Stegostoma tigrinum: one gene and its partner. The protein of the gene in region 1 purifies or fractionates together with the protein of each later gene. This does not show direct contact. Links are inferred from orthologs where the notes say so. Each region holds a gene or a part of one and is shown on either strand. Other genes may lie near its edges.

Region 1 (9,995 bases):
CATGACAAAGCTGTGAATTATAAAAGGATAAACATTTCTTTAAATACTTTTCTCCAGTTGTCAGTTTTCTATTCAGAAATTATACTGATCAAGGAAAAATAAGTGTAAAACATGCGAAAAATGATTCAACCCCAAATAGGTAAATTCAGAATTCCACTGCAGCCAAAGGATGATTTAGCTGTCACCAAAATGTAGATCTCTCTCTCAAAAGACACTGCTGGCAGGCAAGTTATGTTCCAGTTTAAAACCAATAATTTAAAACATGCAGAAAGAAAGCACTCAAATTTTGTTAATGCTTTTGAATTTGAGCTCATCAGTGCATTTCATAATGCTACAAACTCAAAGGATAAGTTAATTTTAAAACTGCAGGAAGAAAGAGAATGCCAAAATGGTTGGCAAGAGATCCAATTGGTAATGGCATTGCCACAGAGAATGCATCATCATCAGGCAGATTCTTAGCTTGCGAAGATCAGTTGGGAAGAGATTCATCAGCGATTTCGTTGGCACAACAGTTGGTGGCTGTAGAGTCCTATTCTGGACCTGCAGATCCTGGGGCAACGCGGGCAGGGGAATGCTCCGGACAGCAGGGCTTGAGATGAGGGCTCCTTCCTGCGTTTCCGTCTGTCCTCTGCAGCTGCTCTCCTCGAACATTCGAACTGCTCCGTCGCCGTCATAGTTTTCTTCTGCCATGCGTCCCTCTCAGAGGCCAGCTTTTGCCATTCCATTGAGGCAATGCCGGCCTGAGACAGCTGTTGCTTCAGTTGGTTTTTGTAGTGCTTGCGCGGGACACTGCGGTTTCTTTTGCCGACGCAGAGTTCCCCAAAGAACACTGTCTTGGGTATTCTGGTGTTGTCCATCCATGATACGTGACACAACCAGTGAAGTAGCTTCAGGAGAAGGGTTGCTTCGATGCTGGGGAGCCAGGCCTTTTCCAGCACTTTGTTGTTAGAGACGCGGTCCTGCCAGGTGATGCCCAATATAGAGCGCAGGCAACGTTGGTGGAATCGTTCCAGCAGCCGCATCTGTTTCCGATACAAAAGGTCTCGGAGCCCTAGAGCAGTGTGGTGATGACCGCGGCCTTGTAAACCTGGATTTTCGTCGACATGATTTTCTAGTGGTTTCCCCATACACGCTTCTGCAGTCGCCCGAAGGCGCTACTTGCTTTTGCACGGCGATTGTAGACATCTCTGGTGACTGTCACATCGTCAGAGGTTATGCTTCCCAGGTACATGAAACGTTCCACCATGTTGAGGGGGTGGCCGTCGATCGAGATTCGAGGTGGGTTGTATGTGCTGCATGGTGGCTTCTGGTACAGGATCTCCGTCTTCTTCAGACTGATCATTAGCCCGAAAGCCTTTGCAGCTTCGGAGAAGCGCGTCACTGCAGTCTGTAGCGCATCTTCTGTGTGCAAGAGTAGGGCGCAGTTGTCCGCATACAACAGCTCCATGATGGGCTCCTGTGTTGTCTTCGTGCGAGTGAGAAAGCGGCACAGATCGAAGGTATTGCCGTCCGGGCAGAAGCGAATGTAGATGCTGTTTGTGATGCCCTCAACGTTGATTCACAGTTAACAGCCGAGCCAGACATAAATTTTGAAGCAGGCAGTTGACTGATTTTGCTGCCACCTAGCCCACAGCTGTAACTGACTGTGTTCAATTTAAACAGCAACATTTCATATATAACTTCTGTGTACAAACAGCAGAGCCCTGTGTATTAATGTGTAGCTTCCAGGGCATACCCCAAAGATTGACAGATTATTTCAAATAGCTTTTCACCTGAGCTATTTGCAACAAACAAGGTACTGACTGTACCCAACATGCAAAACTCAATAGGGTAATGTTAGATGCAATTCTTAAGTTGACAAATTTGGTGGATAATCCTAAAAGAGAGAAACTAGACTGGCAACCAAGTTAAGACCATTCAGGTTCAGCACAGCACATGTACATGTACTGGACTGCAGCACCAGAAAGCCAATGTCTGTAGCTAAAGTGGGGCTTGTGGCCTGGCAGCAAAGCTAGGGTCTCCTGGTTGTGGGGGAAAGTGTGGGTTCACAACAGCATCAGAGAAGAGGGCCCAGCGGGGAAGAAATGGCTCCTGAAGTGGAGCAACTCATATGTTGGTGAATCTAGCACAAGTGGCAACAAGGCAGTGGAGGTCTCCCTGGAGGCTTGGTGCCAGCATGGACTGGGCCAGAACGACTGATCGTGAGCTTTTTACTTATTTTCCTAATTTATTCCAATGACCAAAAATGCTGGACTATTCATTTCTTTACTTTCCTAACATGATTTTTTTTGTTTCCTAAGATTTGATTTTAAAGTAGCTGGTATCTTTGTACCTTTTCTGATGAAGGGTCTAGGCCCATAACATCAGCTTTTGTGCTCCTAAGATGCTGCCTGGCCTGCTGTGTTCATCCAGCCCCATACTTTATTACCTTTGTACCTAAAATGGCATTGTAATGCAGTAACCATAAACTTTTCACTGTACTCATTCAAGTACACAACAATAAAGACAATTCAATTCAAGCTACATATTTTATACAGGTACAAAGAACATGGACCTAGTCTATGATAACAAAGTGCGGAGTTGGATGAACACAGCAGGCCAAGCAGCATCTTAGAAGCACAAAAGCTGGCATTTCAGGCCTAGACCCTTCATCAGAAAAGGGGGAGGGGGGAGGCTGATCCAAGATGGATAGAGGAGAAGATAGGTGGAGAGGAGACAGATAAGTTAAAGAGGCAGGGATGGAGCCAGTAGAGGTGAGTGTAGGTGGGGAGGGAGGGGATAGGTCAATCCAGGGAGGACAGACAGGTTGGGGGGGGTGGGGGAGATGATGAGGTTAGTAGGCAGGAAATGGAGGTGCGGCTTGCGGTGGGAGGAGGGGATAGGTGAGAGGAAGAACATGTTAGAGAGGCGGGGATGAGCTGGGCTGGTTTTGGGATGGGGGGGGAAAGCTGGATTTTGAAGCTTTTGAAATCCACATTGAAAACATTGGGCTGCAGGGTTCCCAAGCAGAATATGAGCTGCTATTCCTGCAACCTTCAGGTGGCACTGCAGGAGGCCCAGGGTGGACATGTCGTCTGAGGAATGGGAGGGGGAGTTGAAATGGATGAATGAACAAACAAGAGGAATTTGCAGCAGTAGTAATGTCCCTACCTCTGAGCTAGGACAGCCAGGTTCAAGTCCTTACTTGCTCTGGGTGTGTGTAACGTTTCTGAACGGGTCAATTCGCAAACACACCTGATGAACTGCTATAGTTGTTTACTGCGAACCGAGCATACGTGTTCTGCAAAGCGGTCCCCAAGCCTCCGCTTGGTTTCCCCAATGTAGGAGGCCACAATGGGTACAGCAGATGCAGTATACCACATTGGCAGATGTAGCACTTCCTGCTGTTGCAGGGGAAAGTGCTGGGTGTGGTGGGATTGGAGGGGAGTGTGGAGCAGACAAGGGAGTCATGGAGAGAGTGGTCCTTCTGGAAAGCAGACAAGGGTGGGGATGGAAAAATGTCTTTGGTGGTGGGGTCAGATTGCAGAAGTGTCAGAAGATGATGCGTTGGATCCGGAGGTTGGTGGGGTGGTATGTGAGGATGAGGGGGGAATTCTCTTTTAGCAGTTATTGTGGGGACGGGTTGCAAGGAATGAGTTGCCGGAAATGCAGGAAACACGGTCGAGGGTGTTCTCGACCATTGTGGCCATGGGGGTTTGTGGTCTTGAAAAACGAGGACATCTGAGATGTACAGGAGTGGATGCCTCATCCTGGGAGCAGATGCGACAGAAGCAAAGGAATTGGGAATAGGGGATGGAATTTATGCAGGAAGGTGAGTGGGAGGAGGTGTATTCCAGGTAGCTGTGGGAGTTAGTGGGCTTAAAATGGATATTTGTTTGCGCTCCTAAGATGCTGCTTGGCCGGCTGTGCTCATGCAGTTCCTCACTTTGTTATCTCAGATTCTCCAGCATCTGCAGTTCCCATTATCTCATGGGCATGGCTTATGCCTGTTTCAAGTCAAAATTGGGAACAACACTCTCAGGTTCATTGATGAATGGAAGCAGCTGAAGATGGCTGAACACAGGTCACTCCTCTGATAAACTGCTGATTCTTTTAGTGCAAAGTGGTTGTGTTTCTACTACTGAGCCAGAAAGCCTGGGTTCGACCAGCTCTAGAGATGGGAAATGGACAGGTGATTAAATATATCTTTCCTGACGAACAAACAAGAGGAATTTGCAGCAGTAGTAATGCCCCTACCTCAGAGCTAGGACAGCCAGGTTCAAGTCCTTACTTGCTCTGGGTGTGCGTAACATTTCTGAACGGGTCAATTCGCAAACACACCTGATGAACTGCTATAGTGCTCGTCGTGAAGCTACAATGACTAACAACCACAACCATCTTGCTAGAAGCCAGGCACGACTTCAGCCATCACAGCTTTCTCTCCACTCCGAATAAAGCCCAGTTTTGCAAAGGCTTCTTGATACCACATTCTTGTCCTCACTTGGGGGAGGGAGTGAAGATGGCGTGGGGATAAGGGGATGGTGACGGGAGGAAGCAAATAAGGAGGCGCGGGTGTGAGGGGGGATGGAGAGAATAGGAGCTTGGTGGATTGGAGGGGACATGAGATAAATCTGCTCAAGGCCCACCTGCATAATAGTTTTGCGGATCTTCCACAGCCGGTAGGTCTCCTCTTCATCGTCCATTGCTACCGCCCGAGGCCCGGACGCTGCTTTATGACAGTTTCCACACACGCAAGCCGGCCGCCCGCGCAGGCGCAGTGGCGGCGACGCCGAACGTGCTGCGCCAATGCGCATGCCCTATCGGAGCCCTTCAGCGCGGGTTTTGGCAAGTTTGGTCAAAATGGTGCCTTAAAGCGAATTGCTAGCCTTGTTTCTGTATTGTTACCTTTTAGTTCCTTGCTATAGCGTTTTGTGTATGACATTTCTTGGACATAATATTTAGTCTAGTTTTGATCTAGTTAGGCAGAAACCCTCATAACATTTAAGAAGTATTCAAAAGTGCACATGATATCAAGGTCTGTAAGGCAATCGGCCAAGTATTGGAAAATGTGGTTAGAATAGTTAGGTGGTTATTTTTGACCCCTCAATGAGCTGAAAAGGCTGTTTTCTGTTCAATAGACCTCTATGACTCGATGATCTAACATCCATCAGTCTCCTGTTTGGCATCAATAGGAAATACAACAAAAGTTCTGAATTCAGCTATTGAATTTACTGCACCAGTCCATATAATCCTAGGTAGCCTAAGCAGCCTCCTCCAGCACCTGCTGGCACTATAGTTAACTTATAAAGTTGAAGGGAGCTCTTTGGGCCATGAAACACCCTTGCTCTTATTCCTAAATTCACTGCTCATCTGAAGATGGGAGAAGCTTTCTGCTGTCTATACTACAAGAGCTCCCATGTGAAAATCCCATAGAGCGATACCAGAGATAATATCGAAACTGCCCTGAAATCTGTTTCCTACCCTTGGAAAAATAAAGTCCTGTAAACTCTCACATGAAGAATCTGGTAATCCCACTCCATGTGGTTTGTTTTTCAGTACAATATGTAGTGGTTTTTGATTCATGGTTCTTCACTCAATGATTTCAGACATCACGTTTTATTTGCACCTCCTTTATGCTATTGTGTGCTCAACTTTAAAGATAAAGGAAGGGATGGGTGAGAGGAAAAACAGTTTAGGGAGGCAGAGACCAGCCCAGCCTGTCTCTGCCTCCCTAACCTGTTCTTCCTTCCACCCACCCCAAGGTGCACCTCCATTTCCTACCTACTAACCTCATCCCACCTCCTTGACCTGTCCGTCTTCCCTGGACTGACATATCCCCTCCCCACCTATACTCTTCTCTCCACCTATCTTCTTTTCTCTCCATCTTCGCTCCGCCTTCCCCTCTCTCCCTGTTTATTCCAGAACCCTCACCCCATCCCCCTCTCTGATGAAGGGTCTAGGCCCGAAATGTCAGCTTTTGTGCTCCTGAGATGCTGCTTGGCCTGCTGTGTTCATCCAGCTTCACACTTTATTAACTAATGGGAATGTGCCCTCAATGATAAGCAAATGATAAACAAACATTTACCTGATGAAACAACTCAAATCCAGCTTTTGATTTCAGCAACAAATTGAGGATACTGACAGAAAGGCAGGTTCACTAAAAGGGCTGAACAAGTGGACATGGATTTTATGCCAGGCTGTCCTGTGTGAAACAAAGAGCCAACTCAATTAACAAATCAACAAAGACATCAGATATGGGAGGCATTCCTATGTGATATGTGAAGATTACAATACTGCAAATGTTTACGTGAATGAATAGCATATTTAGCTTAATTCTAGTATGTTAAATATTCTATCAATTTGTGACATAAACCACTAATGACTTGATAATGGGACAACAAGGAATAAAGAAGAAATACAGAAAGTAGAGATGTGTAAATGTAGTTATTACCATAGTATTCATAGACACATTATCGTTTTAGGGCATTCACTTATCTCCTTTACTGCTGCCGAGACCAAAAGAACATACAGAGTAGCCACTCATTTCATCTTCTTGCAGAGAAAATCTCCAAACTTTAGAACACACTGAACTAATCAGTATGATGATGCATATATAACTCTTTACCAACTTTATTTAGGATCTTCAAAGGATGGAAGAATAAAAGGTGTTGATGATGTGCATACTGACAGGAACATTCACATTTCTTGTACCTAAGTATGTGATCACATTGTTTAGCTTAAATAAGCAGGTTTCAGCAACTTTTCATAAGACGTGTTGTGTTTTGTCCTGGACGCAATAACAAGTGTATAAACATACATGTATATATTGTATATGAATTAAGAGCAGAAGGAAGCCGTTTGTACCCTCGAGCCAGCTGACATTTAGTAAGATCAGATGATCTGTATGCATGTCAAATTCCACATTCCGATCTATTATGATAACATTCTGGATCTTGTTCATCTCTGCTTAAAAATATTCAATGATCTGCCTCCACAGCCTTTGAGGCCAAGTTCCAAAGTCACACATCTCTCAAAGAAAATAATTTACCTCATCTCTGTTTTAAAAGGATGGCTCCTAATTTATAACAGTGTCCCTAGTTCTGGGTTCATCCACAAGACGAAGTATCTTTTCTACATTCATTTTGTCAGGACTGTTTTGAATATTGTACATCAATTACATATACATCAATGATTAATCAATCATTCTTCACTCTTCAAAACAAGCCGAGTATTGCACGACATTTCCACCGAAGATAACCCAGTCATTTCAGGTATCAATCCATAACCCTTCTCTGAGTTGCCACCAACATATTTGCGTGTTTTCTTAAGTTTTCTAGAGTTGCATATAGGGCAGACCACATAAGGATGGCAGATTTTGTTCACTAAAGAACATTAGTTAACCAGAGATAGTAGGAACTGCAGATGCTGGAAAATCTGAGATAACGAGTAGAGCTGGATGAACACAACATGCCAAGCAGCATCAGAGGAGCAGGAAAACTGACGTTTTGGATCTAGATTCTTCTTCAGAAATGGGGGAGGGGAAGGGGATTCTGAAATAAATAGGGAGAGGGGGGAGGCGGATGGAAGATGGATAAAGGAGAAGATAGGTGGAGAGAAGACAGACAGGTCAAAGAGGTGGGGGTGGAGCCAGTGAAGGGACTGCAAGTGCGGAGTTGGCGCAGGGAGCAGATAGGTCAGTTCAGGGAGGTGGTCCTTTTTTGCAGGAAGGTGGGTGAGAGGAGGTGTATTCTAGGTAGCTGTGGGAGTCAGTAGGCTTGAAATGGATATTGGTTTCCAGGTGGTGGAAACAGTAAGGTCCAGGATGGAGAGAGAGGTGTCAGAGATGGTTCAAGTGAATTTAAGGTTGGGGTGGAAAGTCGTAGTGAAGTGGATGTACTGTCCGAGCTCCTCGTGGGAGCACCTCCTCCCATGCACCTTCCTGCAAAAATGCCATCCCCGTTTCCCAATTCCTTCGCCTCCACCACATCTGCTCCTGGGATGAGACATTCATTTTTCAAGGACCGCAACGTTCCCCCCCCCACCCCCACAGTGGTCAAAAACGCCCTCGACCACATCTCCCGCATTTCCTGCAACTCATCCCTCACAGCCCCCTCCCCACAATAACAACCAAAACAGGATCGCCCTCGTCATCACGTACCACCCCACCAAATTCCGGATCCAACGCATCATCCTCCGACACTTCCGCCGTCTGCAATCTGACCCCACTACCAAAGACATTTTTCCCTCCCTACCCTTATCTGCCTTCCAGAGGGACCACTCTTTCTGTGACTCCCTCGTCTGCTTCACACTCCCCTCCAGCCCAACCACCCCCGGCGGTTTTCCCTGCAACCATAGGAAGTGCTACACCTATGTCTACACCTCCCCCATCCCAGGCCCCAAGAAGACCTTCCACATCAAACAGATGTTCACCTGCACATCTGCTAGTGCGGTATACTGTATCCGCTGTTCCCGATGTGGCCTCCTCTACATCAGGGAAAGGAAGCAGAGGCTTCAGGACCACTTTACGGAACACTTACGCTCGGTTCGCAACAAACAACTGCATTGCCCAGTCACGAACCATTTCAACTCGCCTTCCCACTCCTCGGACGACATGTCCAGCATGGGCCTCCTGCATTGTCACAATGATGCCACCCAAAGGTTTGCAGGTACAGCAACTCATATTCTGCTTGGGAACCCTGCAGCCCAATAGTATCAATGTGGACTTCACAAGCTTCAAAATCTCCCCTCCCTGGACCGCATCCTAAAACCAGCCCAGCTTGTCCCCGCATCCCTAACCTGTGCTTCCTCCCACCTATCCCCTCCTCCCACCTCAAGCCCTACCCCTATCTCCTACCTACCAGTCTCATCCCACCCCCTTGACCTATCCCACCCCTAACTCCCCACTGCTTCCGCCTCCGCCTCTCTGACCTGTCTGTCTCCTCTGCACCTATCTTCTCCTTTATCCACCTTCTATCCGTCACCCCCTCTCTTCCTATTTATCTCAGAATCTCCTTCCCCTCCCCCATTTCTGAAAAAGGGACTAGACCTGAAATGTCAGCTTCCCTGCTCCTCTGATGCTGCTTGGCCTGCTATGTTCATCCAGCTCCACACCTTGTTATTAGTTAACCAGATGTGTTTTTAGAAAAATAATTTAATGGTTATCATTACTTTAATTAGCTTTCCATTCCAGATTTTATTAATTAAATTTAATTCCATTAGCTACCTTGGTGAGATTTGAACTGAAATCCCTGGAGCATTCATACAGACTTCTGGATGATTCATCTGGTGACATCACCATCAACATTGGGCCGATTTTGTAGACACTTTAGATTTCAACCTAGCACAGGTGTTAGTTGACTTGAATTTGTCCTTAAGTGTTTTAAAGTCAATTGAAGGACCCTTTTTCAAAAATGGTTCCAATTAGTGTTCAAATATAAGGATTTCTTTAGCATACCGTGTCCACCAGTAAGAGGTGTGTTCAAATGTATTTAGTTGAAGTAGAGCAAAGATTATTCAAATTGTACACAGAGTTGTACAGATTTGGAAATCGAATTGATAGTAAGAGAATGGACTCAAACTTTGGAGGCAAGAGCACAACAGAATTATGCTACTGTAACCACACAGTATTACTGGCAGAATCAGAAGAGACCCTACCATGGATAATGCAAAATCTAGTTTAGAATAGAGATTTGAGTATAAATTAATAAAATAAGAATAAAACTGTAGTTGTTAGAAAGATTAGAAAAAAACTGAAGTGTAGTTTGAAGTGAATGATGTCACAATGGAACAAGAGGATACATTTGTTTATTTTAGACAGATGATAACAGGACATGACAAATGTGATACAGAAGTTAGACAAAGGATAGAGATGGGAGTAATTTTGTGAAGATGAAGGATGTAGTACAATTGAATTTTCTTGTTAACAGAGGAAAAATCTCATACAGCATGGAAACAGACCCTTGGTCCAACCAGTCCAAACATAATCCCAAACTTAATCTAGTCCCAACTGCCTGTTC
Region 2 (10,931 bases), on another chromosome or scaffold:
GTTCCAGTCAGATGTGGGACTCTGGTAAGTGTCACAAAGCACACAACTTTATAGGCCTTCAACCAGCAGAGATAATTTGGCTTTGGACCAAGCTTGTTATGTACAATTGAAACAGACATCTCAGCTATGGTTTTCTGAAGAAGGATCTAGGCTTGAAACATCAGCCTTCCTGCTCGTCTGATGCTGCTTGGCCTGCTGTGTTCACCCAGCTCTACACCTTGTTATCTCAGCCACGGTCCTATCTTATTCAAAACAAGAACGGCACAGTCCAACCAAACAGTCATGCACTAGTTTCCACAAAGAAGCAATTTTCAGCAAAGTTGTAGTAGTCATTAACACAACCAAACAGACCAGAGATTTGGTGTTCATTGTAAAGTCCAGATGCAGCCTGATTACCAAACCAGAATCAGCAATTCTCCTTCTGCCCAGCACAATGGCTTCAAGAAATCTCAATTCCCAATCTCTTCAAAAGAGGCTGCAGACACATTCAGGTAAACTAATATATCCTCACAGCAATAGTGCCTGAAAATACAAATTCTGTTTACCTCTTCTGGCAACCTAGGTGGCAAATTCAGTATGTGTTGTTTATCCTAAATTTTCTTCCTTGCAAAAGTACAAGAGGTCCAAAACAGTTCTGTCCAGACATTGCAGAAAAGAAAGCGAAATTTTGTCATTCCCCATTAAAGCTTCAACCTACTGGCAACAAAAAGGCAGTTTTAATTATGAAAGCAAACAGTTTACATTCCAATCAGGCAACGAGGGGATATCAAAACTTAGCAGGTCTATCCTAAATTGCCCTTGAGCCGAATGGTTTGCTAGGCCATTTCAGCAGTCAATTAAGAGTCAACCACGGTGCTGAGGGATGGAGTCACAGTCATAGCATAGCAGAATCCCTATAATGCAGTAGCAGGCCATTCAGCCCAAAAAACCCACACCAAGCCTCCGAACAGCATCCCACCCCTCTACCCTAGTCCCGTAACCCGACATCTCTCATGGTTAATCCACCTAATCTACACATCTATGCACACTAAGGGGAATTTAGCATGCCCATCCACCTAATCTGCACATCTTTGGACTGCAGGAAGAAAGTGGCACATCCCACAGGAAGGTGACAGCTGCAGCCACAGGAAGAATGTGCAAAGGCCAGACAGTTGCCAAAGGCTGGAGCTGAACCTGGGTCACTGGCACAGTAAGGCTGCAGTGCTAACCACCGAGCCACCGTGCCACCCTCAGACCAGACCAGGTAAAAGGTAGATTAAATCCCCGGGACCTGATCAGGTGTACACTAGAACTCTGTGAAGGGCGAGGGAAGTGATTGCTGGGCCCCTTGCTCAGATATGTGTACCATCGATAGCCACAGGGGAGGTGCCGGAAGACTGGCGGTTGGTTAATGTGGTGCCACTATTTAAGAAAGGTGGTAAAGGAAAAAGCAGGGAACTGCAGACTGGTGAGCCTGACATTGGATGTTGGAGGGAATTCCGAGGGACAGGATTTACATGTATTTCGAAAAATAAGGACTGATTAGCGATTGTCAACATGGCTTTGTGAGAGAGAAATTGTGTCTCAATGACTTAATTGAGTTTTTTGAAGTAGTAACGAAGAGGACTGATGACGGCAGTGGTGGATGTGATCCATATGGATTTAGGAAAGGCATTTGACAAGGTTCCTCATGTGATAGCAAGGTTAGATCACATGGAATACAGGGAGAACTAGTCATTTGGATACAGAATTGGCTAGAAAGTAGAAGACAGACGATGAAGGTGGAGGGTTGCTTTTCAGACTGGAGGCCTGTGACCAGTGGTGTGCAAGAAGTATCGCTGCTGGTTCCACTGCTTTTCTTCACAGTGCAGGTTCATAGTCCTTGGAAATAGATTTGAATGTAGATAGGATAGTGAAAGGAGTGTTTGGTAAGCTTGCCCTTATTGGACAGTGCATTGTGTATAGGAGTTGGAGGTCATGTTGTGGCTGTACAGGACATAGGTTCGGCCACTTTTGGAATACTCCATGTGATTCTGGTCTCCCTGCTATGAGAAGGATATTGTGAAGCTTGAAAGAATTCAGATAAGATTTACAAGGATGCTGTCAGTTTGGATGAATTGAGCTATAAAGAGAGGCTGAATGGATTGGGACTATTTTCACTAGATGATGAGAGGCTGGGAGGTGATCTCAGAGGTTTATAAAATCATGAGGGGCACGCATGAGGTAAATAAACAAGGTCTTTTCCCTGGGGTGGTGGAGTCCAAAACTAGAGGGCACAGGTTTAAGGTGAGAGCGGAGAGAATTAAAAAGGGACCCAAGGAGCAGCATTTTCATGCTGAGGGTGGTGTGTGGATGGAATGAACCGCCAGAGAAAGTGGAAAAGGCTGGTACAATTACAACATTTAAAAGGCATCTGGATGGGTATATGAATAGGAAGGGTTTGAGGGGGATATGGGCCAAAAGCTGACAAACAGGGTTAGATTAATTTAAGATATCTTGTCAGCACGGATGAGTTTCCTTGCTAAACATTTCTATGACACTATGAGGTACAAATGGCAGATTTCATTTACCAACCAAAGCAGCGAAGTCAGACACTTGGGGAGCGAATAGGAACATGATCAGTCAAATCAGAAACTGGGTGGAGTATAGAATGATAAATTATGTCTGAATGTGATATGCTAATAAAAGTGATGCAATGTCACATGGTCTTAGTCTCCACTGCAGCCTCAGGACCAAGATGAAGCCATAGCAAGATGATTATTAAATAATGTTGATGTTTTCCTTACCTGAGGCTCTGTAAATATTATTTAGTAGCTCAACAAGACCAAGAGTATTGTAATAGATGCACTTACATAAACTGCTCAAAGAGTTATGGTATGTTTACAATTGATAAACATTATGCAAAAAGTACAATGATTGTAAATTGCAATGAATGACCCATGTGAAAACAGGACAGCAAATGACAATGTAATTGAAGATCGCAGAAAAGGAAAGTTTTCTCATCCTCATTTAGTTAACAACCGATCAGGGAGCTACTGGCACACTGTACATTACTTTAGAGTTTGGGGCTGCAGTCTTGCCTGAGTCAGGAACTCACTCCAGAGGCCTGAGTAAAAAAAAGGTAAATGACAACCCGAGTGCTGCAAATGCCAAAGAACAGTACTGGAGGAACACTGCATTACAGGAGGTTCAATATTGAGGTGGTACTGCACTGTTGGAGGAGACTGAGGGACTACCTTTCAAAAGATCTATTTGAGGAAAAGAATGGAAGGCGTCGTCCCTGGTATCTTGGACAACATTTACCTTTCAATCAAAATCAATAGAACAGAACATCGGGCAATTACCGTATTACGGTTGGCTATGGGATCTTGCTGTGCGCTTGCTAACTAGTGAGTTTCCTACATTACCATGGTGACCACACTTATTTAACTCATCGGCTTTGGAGCACTGTGAGGTTTCTATCCTCATCTCGCTGAGGTTGCGACTTTCCTCACAGGCTGCACAGTCCCACTCTACACCCAGCCCTACCTGATGCAATGAAAGGGGAAGAAGCTACTGCAGCTAAAGCCAGAGGTGCCGGAAGCCGCTCCCTCCCATCCTGACAGGCCAGCAGTTACCTCACCTGATGCAGGTACCCGGGCGGCACTCCTGACCTCGCCGACCACTAACACCACGGGGATGGAGCGGCCTCATTGGGGGATGGAGGTCCCAGGAGCCGGCCTGTACAGGAGACAGGGAGAAACAGAGGCAGGTCAGAAGCCGATTCATCACAGGGGAACCGCCTAAACTTCAGGCCGAGGCCGCTGACTTAATGCCAACTGGGGCCCGGCCAAACCCACAATCCTAACCCGAGTACTCACCACTGTCCCCAGCCGCCCGTTCCCTCAGGCGGTGCCGGCGAAATGGATGAAACTACCAGCAACCATGGAGCCGACACGTGGGTCACTCATATCCTCAGACCGCGTTCCATGGGTACGCTGGGTCCCCCTGACGGCCGGAGGACCGCGTTCCATGGGTACGCTGGGTCCCCCTGACGGCCGGAGGACCGCGTTCCATGGGTACGCTGGGTCCCCCTGACGGCCGGAGGACCGCGTTCCATGGGTACGCTGGGTCCCCCTGACGGCCGGAGGACCGCGTTCCATGGGTTCGCTGGGTCCCCCTGACGGCCGGAGGACCGCGTTCCATTGGTACGCTGGGTCCCCCTGACGGCCGGAGGATCGCGTTCCATGGGTACGCTGGGTCCCCCTGACGGCCGGAGGACCGCGTTCCATTGGTACGCTGGGTCCCCCTGACGGCCGGAGGACCGCGTAACATCGGTACACTGTGTCTCCCTGACGGCCGGAGGACTGCATTACATGGGTACACTGGGTCCACCTGATCCGCGTTTCATGATAATAAAATGTGAGGCTGGATGAACACAGCAGGCCAAGCAGCATCTCAGGAGCACAAAAGCTGACGTTTCGGGCCTAGACCCTTCATCAGAGAGGGGAGTGGGGAGAGGGAACTGGAATAAATAGGGAGAGAGGGGGAGGCGGACCGAAGATGGAGAGTAAAGAAGATAGGTGGAGAGGAGAGTACAGGTGGGGAGGTAGGGAGGGGATAGGTCAGTCCAGGGAAGACGGACAGGTCAAGGAGGTGGGATGAGGTTAGTAGGTAGCTGGAGGTGCGGCTTGGGGTGGGAGGAAGGGATGGGTGAGAGGAAGAACCGGTTAGGGAGGCAGAGACAGGTTGGACTGGTTTTGGGATGCAGTGGGTGGGGGGGAAGAGCTGGGCTGGTTGTGTGGTGCAGTGGGGGGAGGGGATGCACTGGGCTGGTTTAGGGATGCAGTAGGGGAAGGGGAGATTTTGAAGCTGGTGAAGTCCACATTGATACCATATGGCTGCAGGGTTCCCAGGCGGAATATGAGTTGCTGTTCCTGCAACCTTCGGGTGGCATTATTGTGGCAGAGCAGGAGGCCCATGATGGACATGTCATCAAGAGAATGGGAGGGGGAGTGGAAATGGTTGGCGACTGGGAGGTGCAGTTGTTTGTTGCGAACTGAGCGGAGGTGTTCTGCAAAGCGGTCCCCAAGCCTCCGCTTGGTTTCCCCAATGTAGAGGAAGCCGCACCGGGTACAGTGGATGCAGTATACCACATTGGCAGATGTGCAGGTGAACCTCTGCTTAATGTGGAATGTCATCTTGGGGCCTGGGATGGGGGTGAGGGAGGAGGTGTGGGGACAAGTGTAGCATTTCCTGCGGTTGCAGGGGAAGGTGCCGGGTGTGGTGGGGTTGGAGGGCAGTGTGGAGCGAACAAGGGAGTCACGGAGAGAGTGGTCTCTCCGGAAAGCAGACAGGGGAGGGGATGGAAAAATGTCTTGGGTGGTGGGGTCGGATTGTAAATGGCGGAAGTGTCGGAGGATAATGCGTTGTATCCGGAGGTTGGTAGGGTGGTGTGTGAGAACGAGGGGGATCCTCTTGGGGCGGTTGTGGCGGGGGCGGGGTGTGAGGGATGTGTCGCGGGAAATGCGGGAGACGCGGTCAAGGGCGTTCTCAATCACCGTGGGGGGAAAGTTGCGGTCCTTAAAGAACTTGGACATCTGGGATGTGCGGGAGTGGAATGTCTTATCGTGGGAGCAGATGCGGCGGAGGCGGAGGAATTGGGAATAGGGGATGGAATTTTTGCAGGAGGGTGGGTGGGAGGAGGTGTATTCTAGGTAGCTGTGGGAGTCGGTGGGCTTGAAATGGACATCAGTTACAAGCTGGTTGCCTGAGATGGAGACTGAGAGGTCCAGGAAGGTGAGGGATGTGCTGGAGATGGCCCAGGTGAACTGAAGGTTGGGGTGGAAGGTGTTGGTGAAGTGGATGAACTGTTCGAGCTCCTCTGGGGAGCAAGAGGCAGCGCCGATACAGTCATCAATGTACCGGAGGAAGAGGTGGGGTTTGGGGCCTGTGTAGGTGCGGAAGAGGGACTGTTCCACGTAACCTACAAAGAGGCAGGCATAGCTGGGGCCCATGCGGGTGCCCATGGCCACCCCCTTAGTCTGTAGGAAGTGGGAGGAGTCAAAAGAGAAGTTGTTGAGTGTGAGGACGAGTTCAGTTAGGCGGATGAGAGTGCCGGTGGAGGGGGCCTGGTCGGGCCTGCGGGACAGGAAGAAGCGGAGGGCCTTGAGGCCGCGTTTCATGAGTATGCTAGGTCCCCTGGCGGCCGGAGGTCAGTTCACTCAGGAGCACCAACCCATACGACAGCCGGAGGACCTCGTTACAATGGTATCAGTCTCTGCCTCCCTAACCTGTTCTTCCTCTCATCCATCCCTTCCTCCCACCCCAAGCCGCACCCCCATCTACCTACTAACCTCATCCCACCTCCTTGACCTGTCCGTCTTCCCTGGACTGACTTATCCCCTCCCTACCTCCCCACCTACACTCTCTCCACCTATCTTCTTTTCTCTCCATCTTCGGTCCACCTCCCCCTCTCTCCCTATTTATTCCAGTTCCCTCTCCCCATCCCCCTCTCTGATGAAGGGTCTAGGCCCGAAATGTCAGCTTTTGTGCTCCTGAGATGCTGCTTGGCCTGCTGTGTTCATACAGCTACACACTTTGTGATCTTGGTTGGGGGTGTGTTGAGTTCATGTGTACGTGTAATATGGTCCTCCGGCCGTAAGGGGCTCCAGTGCCTACCTAATACTGTCTCCGGGCGGCCAAAGGGGATCGCGGAGCAGACGTAAAGCAGTCATCTGGGCGCCAGGAGGACCCAGTGCACCATTGTAAAGAAATGTGAGGCTGGACGAACACAGCAGGCCCAGCAGCATCTCAGGAGCACAAAAGCTGACGTTTCGGGCCTAGACCCTTCATCAGAGAGGGGGATGGGGGGAGGGAACTGGAATAAATAGGGAGAGAGGGGGAGGCGGACCGAAGATGGAGAGTAAAGAAGATAGGTGGAGAGAGTATAGGTGGGGAGGTAGGGAGGGGATAGGTCAGTCCAGGGAAGACGGACTGGTCAAGGAGGTGGGAGGAGGTTAGTAGGTAGAAGATGGGGGTGCAGCTTGGGGTGGGAGGAAGGGATGGGTGAGAGGAAGAACCGGTTAGGGAGGCAGAGACAGGTTGGACTGGTTTTGGGATGCAGTGGGGGAAGGGGAAGAGCTGGGCTGGTTTTGGGATGCGGTGGGGGGAGGGGACGAACTGGGCTGGTTTAGGGATGCAGTGGGGGAAGGGGAGATTTTGAAGCTTGTGAAGTCCACATTGATACCATTAGGCTGCAGGGTTCCCAGGCGGAATATGAGTTGCTGTTCCTGCAACCTTCGGGTGGCATCATTGTGGCAGTGCAGGAGGCCCATGATGGACATGTCATCTAGAGAATGGGAGGGGGAGTGGAAATGGTTTGCGACTGGGAGGTGCAGTTGTTTATTGCGAACCGAGCGGAGGCGTTCTGCCTCTGCTTGGTTTCCCCAATATAGAGGAAGCTGCACGGGGTACCGTGGATACAGTATACCACATTGGCAGATGTGCAGGTGAACATCCGCTTGAGGTGGAAAGTCATCTTGGGGCCTGGGATGGGGGTGAGGGAGGAGATGTGGGGGCAAGTGTAGCATTTCCTGTGGTTGCAGGGTAAGGTGCCGGGTGTGGTGGGGTTGGAGGGGAGTGTGGAGCGGACAAGGGAGTCACGGAGCGAGTACTCTCTCCAGAAAGCAGACAGGGGTGGGGATGGAAAAATGGCTTGGGTGGTGGGGTCGGATAGTAGATGGCGGAAGTGTCGGAGGATGATGCGTTGTATTTGGAGGTTGGTGGGGTGGTGTGTGAGAATGAGGGGGATCCTCTTGGGGTGGTTGTGGCGGGGGCGGGGTGTGAGGGATGTGTTGCGGGAGACGCGGTCAAATGTGTTCTCGACCACTGCAAGGGGAAAGTTGCGGTCCTTCAAGAACTTGGACATCTGGGATGTGCAGGAGTGGAATGCCTCATCCTGGGAGCAGATGCAGAGGAATTGGGAATAGGGAATGGAATTTTTGCGGGAGGGTGGGCGGGAGGAGGTGTATTCTAGCTAGTCAGTGGGCTTGAAATGGACATCAGTTTCTAGCTGGTTACCTGAGATGGAGACCGGGAGGTCTGGGAAGGTGAGGGATGTGTTGGAGATGGCCCAGGTGAACTTGAGGTTGGGGTGGAAGGTGTTGGTGAAGTGGATGAACTGTTCGAGTTCCTCTGGGGACCAAGAGACGGCGCCGATACAGTCATCAATGTAACGGAGGAAGAGGTGAGATTTGGGGCCTGTGTAGGTGCGGAAGAGGGACTGTTCCACGTAACCTACAAAGAGGCAGGCATAGCTTGGCCACGCGGGTACCCATGGCCACCCCCCTTGTCTGTAGGAAGTGGGAGGAATCGAAAGGGAAGTTCTTGAGGGTGAGGACGTGTTCAGCTAGGCGGATGAGGGTGTCGGTGGAGGGGGACTGGTCGGGCCTGTGGGACAGGAAGAAGCGGAGGGCCTTGAGGCCATCTGCATTAGGAATACAGGTGTATAGGGACTGGACGTCCATGGTGAAAATGAAGTGTTGGGGGCCAGGGAATTGGTAATTCTGGAGGAGGTGGAGGGCGTGGGTGGTGTTACAGACGTAATTCGGGAGATCCTGGATCAAAGGGTAGAAAATGGAGTCCAGATAGGTGGAGATGAGTTCGTTGCGGCAGGAACAGGCTGAGACAATGGGTCGATCAGGGCAGGCAGGTTTGTGGATTTTGGGAAGGAGATAGAAATGGGCCGTGCGGGGTTGGGGAACAATAAGGTTGGAGGCTGTGGATGGGAGGTCCCCTGAGGTGATGAGGTCATGGATGGTGTTGGAGATGATGGTTTGATGCTCGGGGGTGGGGTCATGGTCAAGGGGGCAATATGAAGAGGTGTCGGAGATTTGGCGTTTGGCCTCAGCGATGTAGAGGTCAGTGCGCCATACTACCACTACGCCACCCTTGTCTGTGGGTTTGATGTTGAGGTTGGGGTTGGAGTGGAGGCTGTCCGTTCTGCGGGGGAGAGGTTGGAGTGGGTGAGAGGGGTGGAGAGGCTGAGGTGGTTAATGTCTCGACGGCTGTTGGAGATGAAGAGGTCAAGGGAGGGTAGGAGGCCTGGGGGTGGTGTCCAGGAAGAGGACTTGTGTTGGAGGCGAGTCAAGGGGTCAGTGGAGGGAGGATAAGGCTCCCGGTTAAAGAAGTAAGCATGGAGGTGACGGCGGCAGAAAAACTGCTCGATGTCCAAACGTGACTGATATTTGTTGATGTGTGGGTGGAGGGGGACGAAGGTGAGCCCCTTGCTTAGGACTGACCATTTGTCCTCAGTCAGTGGGAGGTCTGGAGGGATGGTGAAGATTCGGCAGGGCTCAGTGTGGCTGTCTGCTCTGGGGTTGCTGGCGGTGGAGGCTGTGGGCGGAGCGATGAGGTCGTCAGCCGTGGGCGGAGTGCGTGCACCCCCAATCTATCCTGGAGATACAGCACTATATCTACAAGGAGAAGACACAATTCCCCCTCCCCCCCCCAGCTGTTTTGCGTATGTCAATACAGACAACATTGCTGTAATAAAACATCAATGTGTGTATACTGAAGGTCTGAGATAAAAACAGAAATCGCTGGAGAAATTTAGGGGGGCTGGCAGCACCTGTGACAGAGAAACAGAATTAACATTTTGATTCCACTCACTCCTTGTCAGAACAACACAAATCATGAAGAAATTCTAAATCTGGATAAACAGTTGCAGTGGGGTGCGGGAGAGGCATCTGGGAATATGATTGAAGAACTTTTGTTTATCTTATTTCACAGCAAGTGGCTACAGCTAATGAGCTCAGCATTTACTGCCCATCTTCGATTGCATTTACTGTAGGTAGACTAGCAGTGTTGATAGGAAGAGAGTGCCAGGATTTTGACCCAGTTACACTGAGGAGACATAAGTGATAGAGTGGTTTAACACTTCTCTAAGATTATGGCTGAAGTAAGAAAAAGACTTCATTGGAACCCAAAGCCACATATCAAACTCGAAATACAGTTGCTGTGTAACTAAATATATTTAATATTAACATGATGCAGAGGTGCCGATGGTGGATGGGGGCGGTCAGTCAGAAGTCATGTGACACCAAGTTATAATCCAACAGGTTTATTTGAAATCACTAGCTTTCTAAACACTGCCCCTTCGTCAGATTAAGTCACCTGATGAAGGGGCAGTGCTTTGAAAACCTGTGATTTCAAATAAAGCTGTTGTCTATTATCTAGTGTCGTGTGACTTCTGACCTAATCTTAACATGTTAATTCAATATCATACAATAGTAATAATGGCAAAATAACAGATGAAAATGCCTCTTCCAGAGGGTAGTGAATCTATGGAATGCTTTACCACAGAATTGTAGAGTCTGAGTCATCAAGATTACTCAAGGCTGAGAATCAAGGATTATGTAGATAAATGAGGAAACTGGAGTTGAGGTTTGTTAGATCAGCCATTATCCCATTGGACGGAACAGACTTAATTGCCCAAATGGCCCATTTCTGCTTTTACATCTTATGATCTCAGATGCGTTACTGTTATTTTTTGAGGGAGGAGGCATGACATAAATTGTGAAGTTTAGAGATTTTTTAAATATCATTTATTATCAGTTTAGGTTATTAACATCTATGTCTTCTGTGTATCTAAAGTAATTAACTTGCAGGTATTTTTTGTAATTTTTTTTAAAAAGACAGTTTGTGAAAGCTACTTTGGCAGGAATAATTGATTTTAATTTAGATCAGGATGATTTCCAAATTAGCAAGCAAAAGGTCTGTTAGAAATTTCGAGCCTTTTCAAAATAAAATTGAGGGAAACACCCATAATTTATAGTTTAACTTTGTTTTGGGAAGTCCTGTGCAGTCCTTGCATGGATATGGTTTTCCAGAGCTGTGCTCCTGAGAAGGGGTGAGTACAGCAAAACTCGTTTACCTTAGAGTGAGTAGTTAGTAAGAGCCCCAAACCAGAA

The links. Proteins that work in one complex are often made in the same cells at the same time.
Region 2: the proteins of DNA-directed RNA polymerases I, II, and III subunit RPABC1 (region 1) and polr3e purify together in Homo sapiens (affinity purification with mass spectrometry; 5 studies listed by BioGRID and IntAct, counting the BioPlex papers as one, with this or other methods). This does not show direct contact. The link is inferred for Stegostoma tigrinum from reciprocal best matches to the Homo sapiens genes POLR2E and POLR3E.

Annotation. Positions count from the first base shown.
Region 1 is NC_081383.1:17,539,303-17,549,297, reverse strand, and holds the start of DNA-directed RNA polymerases I, II, and III subunit RPABC1, read right to left. Parts: upstream 4,746-9,995; 5' UTR 4,683-4,745; coding exon 4,626-4,682; intron 11-4,625; coding exon 1-10. UniProt on the Homo sapiens protein: DNA-dependent RNA polymerase catalyzes the transcription of DNA into RNA using the four ribonucleoside triphosphates as substrates.
Region 2 is NC_081376.1:34,157,467-34,168,397, reverse strand, and holds the start of polr3e (DNA-directed RNA polymerase III subunit RPC5), read right to left. Parts: upstream 3,951-10,931; 5' UTR 3,840-3,950; intron 3,700-3,839; 5' UTR 3,602-3,699; exon of another isoform or gene 3,597-3,601; intron 694-3,596; 5' UTR 546-693; intron 1-545. UniProt on the Homo sapiens protein: DNA-dependent RNA polymerase catalyzes the transcription of DNA into RNA using the four ribonucleoside triphosphates as substrates.